2 linked regions of the Caenorhabditis elegans genome follow. The protein of the gene in region 1 interacts with the protein of each later gene in a pairwise test. Each region holds a gene or a part of one and is shown on either strand. Other genes may lie near its edges.

Region 1 (7,711 bases):
GTTCACTCAGCAAACATCAAATTTTTTCAATGTCTGCATACCGATTATAAGGAAAAAAAAATCAAAAATCACGAGTTTCGCATGCTTTCAAGTTTGCATTGTTACGCTCTTATCATAGTTGTTTTCACGTGCTGAAAATTGTCAACTCACTTCCAAGTTTTCTCCTGAAACCCCTTCCATTTTGTTTTTATCGTCCAACAAAATCGCCAGCTCATTTTTCAACTCAGGTATTCTGTCATCACAATCTCTTACAGTTGTTTCAAGTTCTTTTACATTCTGAAAATGAGCATGCTATCATCTGTGGGGAAAATCTTTTAAAAAACTCAATTTGTTTAAAATGACCAAAAATCGTAGTAGAACTTATGTGCAATCAAAAAATGGTAAAAACTTTTTGTCTCTGCAATTGTATACTCTAATTATGTTTTAACTATTTGTTTTTGAAAATTATAAGGTTTCATCTTCAGAAACACTCGAAATTTTTCTAAACTTTGTCTTAATGTTTTAAAAAACGAAAAAAATTTTAAAGTGTTGTATCATATCCGGTATCAAAAGTGAATTTAGATCGAATCCCCTCTGACAATACTCCAAATTCAAGTCCGTACCTCAACCAATCTCTTATTATCACGCTCCAGTTCAGCCATAAATTGGTCTGCTTCCATTTTGATTGTAGCCAGCTGGCTCATTTTTTGCTGAATTTCTCGATCAATCAGAATCTGTCAATTAAGTTGTCACTTACCTGCACAACATACTTCACCTCGTCTCTCTTTGTCCGTTGATCTGTTATCTTATCTTTTCGTTCATCCAGTGCAGCCATCATGTCTTTCATATCCGATTTTATGTCCTTAATTCAAATTTTGAAACTTTACAACTATCGTTCGACTTTTTCTTTTGAATCTAAACTTTTGCATGTTCTCTTATTCTCCAAACTCACTTTGAAAACTTTGATGTCTCAGTCAATTACATAAAAAATAAAAATAGTACCTTAGAGACATTTTTGGATTAAAGTTGAACCAAGAGTTTAGTCAGTTTCTTCAAAAAAAAACCCCCCTATCTTACCTCTGCATTATTTGTTTGCGGAGCTGCAGTTTTCGGACGATCGTATTTCGTTGGAACATTCAAAACTTCTACTATTTCTCCGCCAATACTTTCCTGGAAATAAGATTAGATAGACACATAAACCACAGAAATCTTGCAAAATCGGGAACGCAGGATAAAAATAATTTGGATTAGTAAACTTTGAAATATGATATTAAACTGTTACATGTTTTGTCTGTTGAAATAGGAGAGGTGTGTCAATTTCGTGTAGCAAAGTAGTTTAGAAAAAGGTGTGAGTAAATACATATGACACACGTTTTTTCTGCTTTGATCCTACCACTTGATCTTGCTGGAAGTAGTTTGCAAAAAAGTGAATTACTGTTTATTCTCTCTGCAACAATGGTGAAAAAAATGATTCGCGGAGCTTGGTCGAATTTGTTCTCTGATTCCAGGAGGTATAGGAAAGTAATTAAAATTATAAGTTCAAATTTTATGCAGTTAACGTATTTAATAAATTAAAAATGGTGATTATTTCTATCAGTATCGTTAAGCGTTTGTAAATATGTTACCATACGCAGCACTGTAGAAAATCATCACAGTTTCGGCAATTCTAATTTTTGACAATCAGCATTTTTAATCAAAAAATGCTTGGCAATCGACAATTGGGTAATATCAAACAGCGATTGCCGTAACTACAAATACATTTGAATGAAATTTTGCTATTATAATTCAGTGAGAGATTACATAAACTGCCATATGTTAGCAGAGGTATCTGATACATTTAAAAGTTTGATGTTGATAATGCACAAATAGTTTTTTTTTCATTATTAAACAGCTATCTGGAAAAAGATCACTAAAAACTTCAAGAATTCCAAAATATATTTTTGCCGTTTCGCGTTTTTTTTTCTATTCAACATTCAACTCAACAATCACGCAACTCACAATGTGCGTTTCCAATTTATTGTATCTTTTGGAAACAATGTCAATTGTTCTTTTAAGCACTGCCACCTCGGTATGCATCAACTCAATTTCCTTCCTTTTCTTTTTTTGTTCTTCACTTTTCACACGGTATTGCTCTAAATATTTTCGGTACTGAAAAAATAGTATTATACTGTTACAAATTATTTCGCCTCACCTGAACATTTGACACAACTTCCCCGCCCACTTTGTCTTTGAGATTGGTTTTACGCTCATCGACATCTTTCTCAATTTTCGCAAGTTCTTGCCTGAAAGTCACGTCCATTTGGTCGCAAATACGGTAGCTTCTAATTTCCTCAACTCTTGCAGTTTTTTGCAAACTTTCTAAGAATAAAGTGGTTTCGCTAATCTTTTTTTTGAGGAAATTGAGAAATGGGGTCAATCAAATGTTGAAATCCCATCACTTTTCTCGCTTTTTCCCATTTTCAATTTCCTACTCCCAGTGGAATAAATAGGACGTTTTGGAAAAAAAAAGCCGAAAAGAGAAGAAGCCCATCTACACTCACTTACCTCAATTCTTGCAATTTCTGCACCGCTGTTTCTTTTTTGCGTTCGAGAAGGGAAGTTTGATGACGAAACACACTGAAAACACCTCATATGTTTTTTTGAAAAAAGGTCAGTTTTGGGAAAATATAAAAAAAGATATTCTAATGTTTTACGTATAGGAAAAATACGATAAACGCAATTTCACAAGTTTTAAGTTCATCACCTGGTTTTGCTTGAAATGCTCTAGAAATGCCGAGTTAAAAAAAAACAAGTGACAAAAAACTAGGAAGTTAAATACCTTGGATCTATATTGAGCGTATTAAAGAGGGATTACCGTCAGTGGGTATTTGTTTAAACATTACCCAAATAAATTTAAAATTACCAAATATCATAGTGGAAGTATTCTAAAAAGGACAATTTTCCGAGCAGTCAAAAAATGGTAAAAACTCCGTCCTAATAATGAAAGTCAACAAAAATTTGTTCCACAGTTTTCAAATTTTAGTTATAATTCAGAAAATTTTTAAAAATCTTTTTTTTAGTTTTGAGAGTATTATGCTCATATTCGGTCATGTTAATTATGTGTCTTAAGACGAAATCCGCAATAAAGATACACTACTTTCATTATTTTTAATAATGATAAAAAAATTTAAAGTTTTTTGTCGAAGCATCCCTTACAAATTCATTTTCTTTTCTAAATAAATATCTAACACTCATAGAAGAATACGCAGATTGTGTCTCTTAGCAGCAACCATCATCATCCACATGTTTTTAAACCGAGTGATGCCACTGTCCGCTTTTAGATTTGCCTTTCCTTGTTCATTAGCAACCAGACCAGATTTCATATTTTTTGCACAAAGAACACAACAACAAATTTGAAATTTTCAGCAAGCACAATTTTAAAACATCTAGACCAAAATGAGCATGCACTTACCTCATGTTCTCATCAATATCCACTTCTTTGTGATCCCGTTCGTCTTCTAGTTTTCGAATTCGTTTTGACATTTCCTCTATCTGAATGATGAATTTAAAAATAACTCTTTCATGCTTTGATCAGCCATGTTTAAGATGACTTGGGAGTAAACAATTAACATATTTTTGGTCAGACGAAAATTGGAAAATTTTTTCGTCTCTCTGACGTCTGAAGCCATTGTTTCGCTCTTTGGCTCTGTTATTTGTTTTTGCCCACGTTTGAAAAAAGCTTTTGAATAGCTTTTAACTCTTAAAACATACAACTTTTTTCTGTAATTACATCATTTAATTTTGTAATCACCTTGGAAATAAGTGAAAAGTGCAGCCACGTTTAAGCTGGGCGACAATTTTATTTTGGATGTTTTTTTTTGTTAAATTTGGTATACATTTTCAAAAATAGCAAAATCATTCTAGCAGTTTTTTAACATCAATGTAGTTTTTATTCCCGCTAATTTTTGTTTACAAAAAATTTGAATTTCCTATCAAAATTTTTTTCAGAAAAACTTTATTGCCAAGTTTGTTTTCCTAGAAAATTTGAAAATCCCACAGAAAAAAATTCCCGAGAAAATTTTAATTTCCGCGAAAAAATTTTTCGGAATACTTAAATTTTTCGCCAAATTTTTTTCCCAGAAAATTTGAAGTTCCCGCTAAAACTTTTAATTTTCGCTAACAACTTGCTTTCGAAATTTTGTATTTCGGGCAACGTATCTGTGTAGTAGCCGTGCTCCAATAGCATTAATTCCTTTTTTAATGGTAATTTAATTAAAACGTGAGGTCAGTGTTGCATATATACTGTCGGCTGCACATTTATCATAAAATTCCCCAAAGTTAAATCTGCAGAGATCTTTAAGCCTGGTATCTTTAAGCTTACCTCAGAATTCATTCTACTGACATCCTCTTCCCGCACTGAATTGGACCTTGCCATGGCTGTCAGCTCTTTCAACTTGTTTTCCTTTGATTCAATTTCTTGAAACAACTTGCCATTCACTAAGTAAGTGTTCGTCGCAACTTCGTCCTAAGAAACCCTCTGTCGTCATTAGATAGGAGAAGACGAGAAAAATAAGTCTAGTAACCTCTAATTTTTCCATTAACGCCTGTTCATCCAATGTGTCAGCGACCGCTTGAGCCTCCGTCAAATTGATTTTCATTCGGTTGATTCTGGCTTCGATGTTCAGGACCTAAACAGAAAAGAATTTCTGATTTTTGATGCTCGCTGCGCCAAAAAAACGCAGTAAGAAGGAAGAAGCCGCACACTCGAGAACAAAAAAATTGCACTCGCTATTTCTGTACTTCTTCTTTCATTTTTTGTCAGGAGAGCAAAAAAAAATTACGTCGGAGATAAAGAAAAAGGAAAATATTTCACTCGGTCTATTTTTGATTTTGAGATAAAAAAATGGAATTCCCAAAGAACCAACCTTCTGCCGTTCTTGTTGTTTTTCAATTGCAAAATCTGCATATCGGGTTTTCTCTCCGCGTAATTGTAATGCAAGTTGCATTTGTCTGAAAACGATTGGCTATTTTGAAAAATGCCAAAATTTATGTTTTATTTTTATACTAAATTCATTTTATTTTATTTTTTATTTTTATAATTTACGCTAAAGAACTCCCTTACTTACGTTTATATGAAAAACGGACAATTTTCCGCAAATTTCTATCTGCACTTGCATAGCGCTCGTTATTTAGCAAAAAGCTTGTAAATTTATTGTTTTCTACTTAATTATGATTGAAGCAGACTTTATCGTACTTGTAGTAAAAATATGAGCCTTATATTCAATTTTTTTGACAATGAGTCAAACCAGAGCTTAAAAGCAATACCGATACAGGCCAAAAGCTTTGCTCAAAAATTGCTTTAAAAATATATTAGCAATGTAAATGTGTTAGAAACTAACAAGAATGATCGGAAATATCCATCTTATCAGCTTATAAAGTTTACAGCTCTAAAGTTTCAAGTGAGCTGTTTTTTTACCTTCAATGTTTTGAAATATGTAAAATCAGGCAAAATACAAATTTCAAAAAAAAATCAAAAAAAATAAAGAAAAAAATCTGAGCTCATTTGCCGGGCTTTTTCAGTTTTTCTGAGGTTTTCTAACACGATGAATTCAGATAGCAAATTCACTTGTCAGTGAAAACTTTTATTAGTTTTCTATTGTTAAACGAATTTTCCTTTTTTTCGCATAAAACAAGTAATTAATTAAATTTTGACTACATTTTCCTGTTATTTTTGAACAATTTTTTTTTGAAGTTTTCACATTATTTGAACTTACTTATCAAAATATGGTATATTCTGCACTTTCTTCTCGGTCTTCTCAATCTTTCGGAGCAAAATTTGTTTTTCTTTTTCCATTGACTTTAAATCCTCTTTTATGTCATCAAGCAAGAGTACGTCTGCCATTATTCCTTTCATTTCAGCATGGATTTCCTGTAGAAAAGTTGTTTTGTTTTTTTTTGTTTTTGCTTTTTTTTTGCTCATCCACTATCGTGACGACTAATCTCTCATGTGATTAACCTTAAACTCCATTGTCAACTCTCCAATCTCATTTTGCAGCTCTTCAATATCATAATCGAAGAATTCTCCAGGTACATCTGTCTGAAAATAATTAATTTACGTATTTCCAATTACAAAAAAGTGCGAAGCTGTTTAGCCATTTCTTGATTCATTAATTCAATGTGTACCTAGATCAGAGACTAACTAAACCAAAAACTTCGGCTGTCTTGCCTACTATATCAGCTATTCAAGCAGAACGATGCTTGTTCTCTATGTATCATTTTTCTTTTAAAAAAAATAATGACAACATCTATTTCTCTCCCCCCAGAAACCACTAGCATAACATGTCGGCTTTTGGCATAGCAATTCATTACCTTCATCAAATATTTTGACAAATATGCGCGCTCTTTCAAACCTTCTGAGTTTTCAAAAAGAAAAACCAGAAGAGGATAGAGGCTAGTCTTGCGACCTTCGACAATCCCTGCACGCCATTCTTCCCTGTAATATAATGTCAAATTAGATGCTGTTTAGTGATTGCCCTCGTTTTGCACGAACTGTTCATCCTGGTCTTGCGGTGGTCTGTAGCGGAGAATTCGGAGCATATTCAGAATACGAATTGCAGTCTCTTCAGCAGCCTCTCTTTTGATATCAATTCGGTCCGTGTCGGAAACCCAGCTGAACATTTTAAAAATTTTCGTTGTTCTTATATTATTAAATTCAATTTTATCAGTGAGAGCATTTATGTGTTTGTAAAAAATTTATTCAAATTTTTCTTAATTTTTTTATGACTTTTGAAATTTTGCAAACAAATAAGAAAGAACCGAATTTTTTGAACATTCTACCCAAGTGGACCTGCTGATACCCCTTTTCTTTATTGTTGTGTCAAATTTTTTTTAAATTTACACAGCAATCTATAAAATAATTACTTTCAATAGAAAGTTTAAGAAGATTGCTCAAAAACTGACATTAGTATCAGTTTGCCAACCAGCAAATTTAACACGCACATTGTAACTTTGTGCCTTTTTTTGAGCAACATCCAAAAGTACAATTAAAGGTAAAGCTATTTTTAGAAATTAAAAAAATTTATTTATATTTCTTTGAAAAATTCTTGAAAAAATAACGATACAATAATAATAAAGTAGCTGTTTTTTAATTGTCACAAAAAATGTAGCACACGTTTCTGGAAAATTTTTGTGAATATTTTAAACACCATAACTGTTTTTTCTCGATATCGCATTTTTTAAATTTCTTTTTTTGACTTAACCAACCTCAAAACATTACTCAAAATTTGGAGCAACTGCTGCGGTGGTAATTGGTCGAATTGAAGTGATGATAAGTTGAGATTGAACGGCTCTTCATTCAAAAAGTGGAGAATAAACCCTTGAATATCGTTCGACATCTTAAGGATACACCGTTAGTGATGACAATAAACGCGAGCTCGTCGAGCAGCGCTCCCGGTTACCAGGGCAACACGACGTAAATATATGTTGTTGCTGGGCTCTTTGCTATGTGAGTGTGAAATGTTTCAAGTAGTATTGAAAAGGGAACAGAAGTTGAACAAGTTGAATCAGTTTGTTGGTAATTAACTGTGGTTAGAGATTTGTTTTGAGTGAGTGGTAATTAAATGTGAACTTTTGATACTCTAAGGTAATAATTTATATTTTTCATATGAGAGTTTTTTTTTGAGTAATGTATCTTTTAAGACTATCAGTTTATATTCCTTTGTCATTTTAAATTAACAAATATTTTGCTCGAAAC
Region 2 (7,297 bases), on another chromosome or scaffold:
ACGTTGATTTCCAGATGAGAGCTCGGTGAGCTCTCTCAATGCACGCTTGGAAAATGGAATCAACTTTCGATTTTCTGGGAGACAGTGATTGATGAAAACGTCCTCGAGAATAGCTGAAAAAGTAATAATAATGTCGGAGTTTCAAATTAATTTTGACATACGAATGATGTCAACGACATCTCTGGTTCCCTGCTTTTTGCACGAAGCAATAAGTTTCTCGATATATTCCAAAGAGTGAACGGGAGATTTGTGCATTTGAAGTTGCATTGCAGTTCTCTTATCAGTAGCTGTTCCCTTTGAAATCACTGAATACAACCACGAAGCTTCAGATCCATTATCTTGTTTCTCCTTCGTCTGGAGCAGAGCTGCATCTTGAGCCATCTCATCCTTTCCCTCTTCAAGAAGCTTTTGAATCTCCGATGCATTCATTTTTTCGGTCTTTTCATCATGAACATGATCGATTTGATAGCTATACCATTTGGTTCCTTCTTGATGTTTAACTAGAATACCATCTTGTCCAAGAATTTTCTTGAATTGACGTTTCTGATTAGAGTTTTCCGGGTTCGCAGGTTTATGGGCCACCGGCTTGGCTGCTCCATTTTGTGCTTGCTTCTTCTTGTTCGTGTGCACGGCACCGCTCTCAAATTGAGCCATAATCTTTTCCGCCTGTAAAGAATAATTTTATTAATTAAAAATTCAAAAACAAAAAATCACTCACGCTAGCCAAATTATCTTCTTTCAGCTTCATCTTCTGTGCTTTTCCCAGCTTCTCCGTTGGCTGCTTCGGCTTTGGTTTCGCCGCCAGCTTCATTGGACGTTTTTTCAGCTTCATTACTGACAATGAATAATCTTAAATTGTTTAAAAATACAGTTTAATAAATATAGCACATTGACATAAAATAAATACTTAGAGAAAGTTAACTTGTTATGAAATTTTTGAAGCAGAAAACAAAATTTTGTTACAACTTTATACAAAAATATTTAAAAAATCGGGTGGAAAACATAATTTAGGCAAATATGAATTAAGAAACTCGTATATGGGACGTCTTTAAGAAGCGAGATTAACGAATGAAATCATATTGAAAGGATACATATCGAACGATCAATGAGAAGTGAAGAACTCCTTGGCAAATTGTTCAGAAGCAATGGTCACGTTGAAAACTGGATTAATTTCAGCAAGCATGTTAACATCACCACCAAGTATTTTCCCATCGCGAGCGAGAGAGTACTTCTGAGCAACTGATAATCCTGAGAGAACGTAGCATGTATGGTACAGGTCGACGGCTGAAAATTGAAGTCATTTTTAGTTATAAAAACTGGATCTTACGCTTGTCCGGCTTATCCTTGAATCCTCCATGTACTGATTGGCATCCAACAAGAATGTACTCTTCAAGCATTCGCGCCTCGAAAAGACCTTTCTCCAATGATCGGCCTTCTCGTTCCATTTCTCCGTCCAAAAGTGGGAAGATGGCACCTTGCCAGAAGCTGTAGCATCCATCAACAAGTTTATTTGTTCTTCCCTGGAAACCACCCTCAAATCGCATCTGCCGGCGCGTGGCCCAACGAAGGAGACCTTCCATATCAGCAAGACGGAATCTGGAAATCATCAGGATCAATGATCTTATTTCAAATTCTGAACTAACTTAATTGATATGATTTTATAAGAAAGAACATGTGGTGTTCACGTGATGGTCTGTCTCTTCTCATTTTCAAAGATAACAATAACTGACCTGTTTAACAGAACCAACGAGGCGACCGCGCAGAAAGTGTATCCTCCGTGTGCCTCTGTATACGGTTCTCCTCCGAAACCACCTTCAAAGCTCTGGCAGCTGATAATCCATTCGGCCACACCATTTGATATCTCATCCATAGGTAGGCCCACAATCTCGCATGTTGCTAGTGCACAGTAGGCGCTTCTCATATCGATCTGGAAATGTTCAATTTTCGATAGCTCAGAATTTTTATGATATCTCTGGCAAAAAAAACAACACTAGAGGCAATTCGTAGAGTGTGCAGCAAGGATCCTAAAGTTCTATGCAAGAGTACGTAGAAGTTTCACTCTGAGTAGGACTTCATCAAGTCTATGCAGGAGTTTCAGTACATTTAGAGCTTTTGAACCATTGCCAGAGATATTCATTAATAAATTATTACCTCTCCTCCCTCGTGCATATAAAATCCTCCGCTCTCATGCTTGCACTTCTTCAAAAAATTGAACAGTGTGACTCTGTTGATAGATCGTAGAGCTTCTTCTTTTTGTAGAGACACTAGGCACATGACAGCGGCATACGTTGGAGCCAAATGAGCCAATTGTCCTGGTCCTCCACCATAGCCACCTTCTGGATGTTCACAAGATTTAAGAAAAACAATAATGTTTTCGATAACATCGTTTGGAATTTCTGCGTCCAAAATTTTAAGTGCATTAACTCCCCAGTAGCACATCCATGAACGACTAGCGTCTAAGGTCTAAAAATTGTAATGTTAAAAACCACTTCTCACAAATCAAACTTACTGCGTAGCTCGACGGGCAGTTTTTGAGATATCTGAGCAAATACGAGGCATGTTTCTGACGGAAAATCGTCAATTCGGCGAGATCTTCGTCGCTTGTGGTCTTGAATGGTTCTAACACCAGTGAATTGTAGTTTTCGAAAAGCATTGTTTCAATACGTTTCTGAAATACTCATAATCGTACATGATAATTACATGGCGGGGTTACAAACCTGTTCAGTGCTTGAGTAGGTGAAATTATCATCGTCGTTACACTCATATTTCTCGTTGAACGAACGGAATGGGATCGAAGATGTCATCTCTGTTATAAAATACAATTTTTACAAAAAGAACACATTAGAAAACACACTTCTCTTGGGAAAACCTATCAAAAACATTTTTTTTCGTCGCGAAAATAAAAAAAAATCGGTGTGATAAACAAGGCGCGCGTGTTTAAAACGGAGTGTCGTTGTCCCCGTCTAATTTTTTCTTTTCTCATTTTTCTGAACACTCTTTTCTGATCAGGAATTCTGACGTTTTATCAGTCTGTGATAAAGTTTTTAATCAGTTATTGCAACAAAAACTCTACGAAAATCAGGCGAGTATGCAGAAAGATGATAAAGTTTTCTTGTAAATTAGCTTTTCATTCCATTTAAAATTTAATAACTTTACAATTTTATATTCTTTATTGTTGTTTGCAAATGTGTATTAAATATCTTATTTCTACGTTTTCTTACAAGTATAATTTTGTTTAAACTGAAAAATATTCAGGTAATGTCGAAGTTCCCGGTGCCGTTGAGAACGATTGGTGGGCTTCGTCCCTCGACAACAGCAGCTATTTCTGCCGCCAACATCGGTTTCACACAATCGAGTCGGGCCCTCAGCACCGGAGCTGCCGCCAAAAGCTCAGGACTTGTTGGACAAGTAGCTCGCCAATATCCAAATGCTGCAGCTTTCAGTATTAAACAAGTTCGCCTTTATAGCAGTGGTGAGACTTTTTTCCTATTTATATTTTCCAACTGGTTGTCCACTAATTCCTTTTTTCAGGAAATCTGCCAAAGCACAATCGGGTAGCTCTCCCAGCACTTTCTCCAACTATGGAACTCGGAACTGTTGTAAGCTGGCAGAAAAAAGAAGGAGATCAACTTAGTGAAGGAGATTTGCTCTGCGAGATTGAAACCGATAAGGCCACTATGGGATTCGAAACTCCGGAAGAAGGATATCTTGCCAAGATTCTCATCCAGGAAGGATCGAAGGATGTTCCAATTGGCAAGCTTCTCTGTATTATCGTCGACAACGAGGCTGACGTTGCTGCCTTCAAGGATTTCAAGGACGATGGTGCTTCATCTGGTGGATCCGCTCCAGCAGCCGAGAAAGCTCCAGAGCCAGCAAAACCAGCCGCTTCATCGCAACCATCTCCCCCAGCACAAATGTATCAAGCACCATCAGTTCCAAAGTCCGCACCAATTCCACACTCATCATCGGGAAGAGTTTCTGCTTCACCGTTCGCTAAGAAACTTGCTGCTGAAAATGGCCTTGACTTGAGCGGAGTTTCTGGAAGTGGACCAGGAGGACGTATTCTCGCTTCGGATCTTTCCCAGGCTCCAGCAAAGGGCGCTACTTCAACCACAACTCAAGCCGTATCTGGTCAAGATTATACCGATATTCCACTTTCGAACATGCGTAAGACAATTGCTAAGAGACTCACCGAAAGCAAATCAACGATTCCACATTATTATTTGACCAGCGAAATTCAATTGGATACACTTCTTCAGTGAGTTTTCTTAAATTATTAAAACAATAAACCCGAGTCTTCCTTTCCAAAAATTACCCTTATTCAGGGTTCGTGAAAAGCTCAACGGTCTTCTTGCAAAGGGAACATCGGGACAAGCCACTAAGATCTCAATCAATGACTTTATCATCAAAGCTTCTGCTCTTGCATGTCAACGAGTTCCAGAAGCCAACAGCTATTGGATGGACTCGTTCATTCGTGAGAATCATCACGTCGATGTTTCTGTAGCTGTCAGCACCCCAGCCGGTCTTATTACTCCAATTATCTTCAATGCTCACGCTAAGGGACTCGCCACGATTGCCTCAGAAATTGTAGAATTGGCGCAAAGAGCACGCGAAGGAAAATTGCAGCCTCATGAGTTCCAAGGAGGTACTTTCACCGTCTCGAACCTCGGAATGTTCGGATCTGTATCTGATTTCACCGCGATCATCAACCCACCACAATCATGCATTTTGGCTATCGGAGGAGCATCTGATAAGCTGGTCCCAGACGAGGCTGAAGGGTAAGAGTTTTTAGGAAATTTATCGAGTTATATAGTTTTTGTATTTCAGATATAAGAAGATTAAGACTATGAAGGTAACATTGTCATGCGATCACAGGACTGTTGATGGAGCTGTTGGAGCCGTCTGGCTTCGTCACTTCAAGGAGTTCCTCGAGAAGCCACACACGATGCTTCTCTAAACGATGGCTTTTTCATTGTTTCCCAATTCATCTCACCATCTTCCTCTACCCATTTTGACCCCCGAATTTACTCCGTAAAGTCTCGAAGTGATAGCGTATAACTAGGTCATAATTTTATTATTTCTTTCTTTCTTCACTACAGCCATTTTCGCTTTTATTTTTCTCATTTTTCATGGCATGTTTCCCAGTTAATCGTTTAATTTCTCCGGTAGTATGTGTAAGTGAATTATTAGAAGAAGTTTCCTTTAAAAAATGATTTATTATTTTTGTCTGTCATACAGAAATTTCAGAAACTCGTAGTGTGTTTGGAAAAGCCTAGCGGATCTTTAGTAATAGTGAGCAAAATGTTGAGAGACCCTAGGAAACAATATGCTTCAAGAAACGAATTCAATGACGACGACACAGTCCGCATGTTCTTGCGCAGAACGCCGTTAAGTATTGCTGATGGGATGGTGAAGCACAGAACTGACGCCACTGACTGCATCTTCCTTGAGGATCACGATCAGCGCATTCTGAAGATTCAAAAAGATTCGACAATATCCTAGATCTAGAAACATACGTCCGCCACCGAAAGCCGGCTGTGGCTGCTGGAATACATTTTGCCGCTGAGCAGCAAAACTGTTACTCTGTCCACGTCTTCTTGAAATGAACACATTTTGACGATTAAATGGAGATTGTGGCTGTTGAGCAACAATTCGCTGTCGTGGACGCTGTAAAATTGCAATTATAATATAGATCAGAGAGTAAAAGAAAATATAAAATACCGCAGGAATTGGTCGGAATGTTTGTTGGAACGTTGGTCTGGAAAAAATCAATATTACCGACATTACAATATGTGAAAAACGAACTGTTGTGTGAATGTAGCTTGTGTTGTCGGTGCAGCAGTCACTTGAGCATCTCCAGAAGATCCACGTTGGAAGCCATCTGAACAAGGCAACTAGGACTAGAACACAGGAAAATGAACGCGCTACCACGGAAACCGAAAAACTCAGACATCACTCAACATGCTAAATCAATCAAAAACTGAGCTTTCAAAATATGTTCCAAGAATTCAAAAAACACATTCATTCAACTCAATAATAATATCGTAGCTTCGAAATTTTCTGAAACGCGTTCTCAAAGGGACACAGATTTGTTCCGATGGGTCTTACCACGAATACAAATACAACAGAAATTGAAAAAAAAAATACTGAGATAAATACTGAAACATTATACCTTGCCGTAAAGATAATGCACCAGCGGGTCTCGAAACTATCAAACCTTCGCAGCTACAGTAACCCAAGAATTTAGTTTTTTTTTGTTGCAAAATTTGGCGAGTTTTTCATGATTTTTCAAGAAATTTATAGTTTTAACATTTATAAAATTAATTGAAAATTTAAATACAGAAGGGAGAAAATAGTAAAACGCTTGCGGGTACGGTGGCTACGAAGTTTCGATCGTGTCGAGAGAGGCCCCACGAAAAGGGGAGCAGAACGAAAAGGGGATCTGCAAAAAGGGGATCTGCGAAAAGGGGAGATACGAAAAGGGGAGATACGAAAAGGGGAGCAACGAAAAGGGGATCTGGCACTGTGCCAAACGCTATTTTTCTCGAAGAAAACGATACAACGATGCTCCGATGTTACGCGTCGCGTGTTGTTAAGCGTATCTTCTAGAAGAAAATTTCAAAAATCAACGTGCGTTGCGTGAGAAAAATTGCGTTTTGTGCGTTTGGCACAGTGCCAGCTCCCCTTTTCTAAAACTCGCCAAATTTTGCAAAAAAAAACTAAATTCTTGGGTTACTGTAGCTGCGAAGGTTTGATAGTTTCGAGACCCGCTGGTGCATTATCTTTACGGCAAGGTGCTCCCCTTTTCGTATCTCCCCTTTTCGTATCTCCCCTTTTCGCAGATCCCCTTTTTGCAGATCCCCTTTTTGTTCTGCTCCCCTTTTCGTGGGGCCTCTGTCGAGACTGCATTTTTGAGCGTGAAATTTTTTCTAGATTTTCTTCAATCATCTAAAGAGTGTGTATAAATACGCGTATTTATGCAAAACCGTTCTTAAAAACCAATTAACATAAATTTCCATAATTTTTCCCGTGGTGAGACCCATCTCAATAAATCCATGCGTCTTTAGGTAGAAGTTTCGGAAAACGTTGAATGTACAATAATAACTATAAATTAATCTAAATCTGTCTACATCTTACACATACGTCTATGCATGATTTCCATACCTGCCACTGGAATAATTCTCGACATATGTGGTGTCGTCGATGCAGGAGACTGTGGCTGAACGTGAACAAACGGTTAAAGGAGCAAAGAAACAAAGAATGAGAGAAAAATCATGTGCAATATAACTATTTTCTG

The links.
Region 2: the proteins of ags-3 (region 1) and dlat-1 interact in a two-hybrid assay, tested with the Caenorhabditis elegans proteins (one study listed by BioGRID).

What each region holds. Positions count from the first base shown.
Region 1 is NC_003284.9:5,298,391-5,306,101, reverse strand, and holds the start of ags-3 (Tetratricopeptide repeat protein 28), read left to right. Parts: upstream 1-2,501; 5' UTR 2,502-2,523; coding exon of another isoform or gene 2,524-2,595; 5' UTR 2,596-2,628; intron 2,629-3,430; coding exon of another isoform or gene 3,431-3,510; intron 3,511-4,311; exon of another isoform or gene 4,312-4,332; intron 4,333-4,339; coding exon of another isoform or gene 4,340-4,483; intron 4,484-4,541; coding exon of another isoform or gene 4,542-4,646; intron 4,647-4,883; coding exon of another isoform or gene 4,884-4,968; intron 4,969-5,732; coding exon of another isoform or gene 5,733-5,887; intron 5,888-5,974; coding exon of another isoform or gene 5,975-6,055; intron 6,056-6,327; coding exon of another isoform or gene 6,328-6,451; intron 6,452-6,508; coding exon of another isoform or gene 6,509-6,628; intron 6,629-7,221; coding exon of another isoform or gene 7,222-7,352; exon of another isoform or gene 7,353-7,375; intron 7,376-7,406; exon of another isoform or gene 7,407-7,437; intron 7,438-7,470; exon of another isoform or gene 7,471-7,541; intron 7,542-7,711. Other genes in the region: ift-81 (Intraflagellar transport protein 81 homolog), read right to left, coding at 151-276, 603-689, 737-841, 1,057-1,149, 1,978-2,127, 2,171-2,261, 2,524-2,595, 3,431-3,510 and 8 more.
Region 2 is NC_003283.11:14,443,249-14,450,545, reverse strand, and holds dlat-1 (Dihydrolipoyllysine-residue acetyltransferase component of pyruvate dehydrogenase complex, mitochondrial), read left to right. Parts: upstream 1-3,255; 5' UTR 3,256-3,258; coding exon 3,259-3,472; intron 3,473-3,531; coding exon 3,532-4,258; intron 4,259-4,325; coding exon 4,326-4,778; intron 4,779-4,827; coding exon 4,828-4,957; 3' UTR 4,958-5,223; downstream 5,224-7,297. Other genes in the region: F23B12.7 (uncharacterized protein), read right to left, coding at 1-113, 162-666, 719-832; fntb-1 (Protein farnesyltransferase subunit beta), read right to left, coding at 1,103-1,284, 1,328-1,596, 1,731-1,927, 2,152-2,463, 2,510-2,668, 2,718-2,804; F23B12.4 (ShKT domain-containing protein), read right to left, coding at 5,345-5,469, 5,517-5,667, 5,722-5,758, 5,806-5,881, 7,165-7,219. UniProt on the Caenorhabditis elegans protein: The pyruvate dehydrogenase complex catalyzes the overall conversion of pyruvate to acetyl-CoA and CO(2).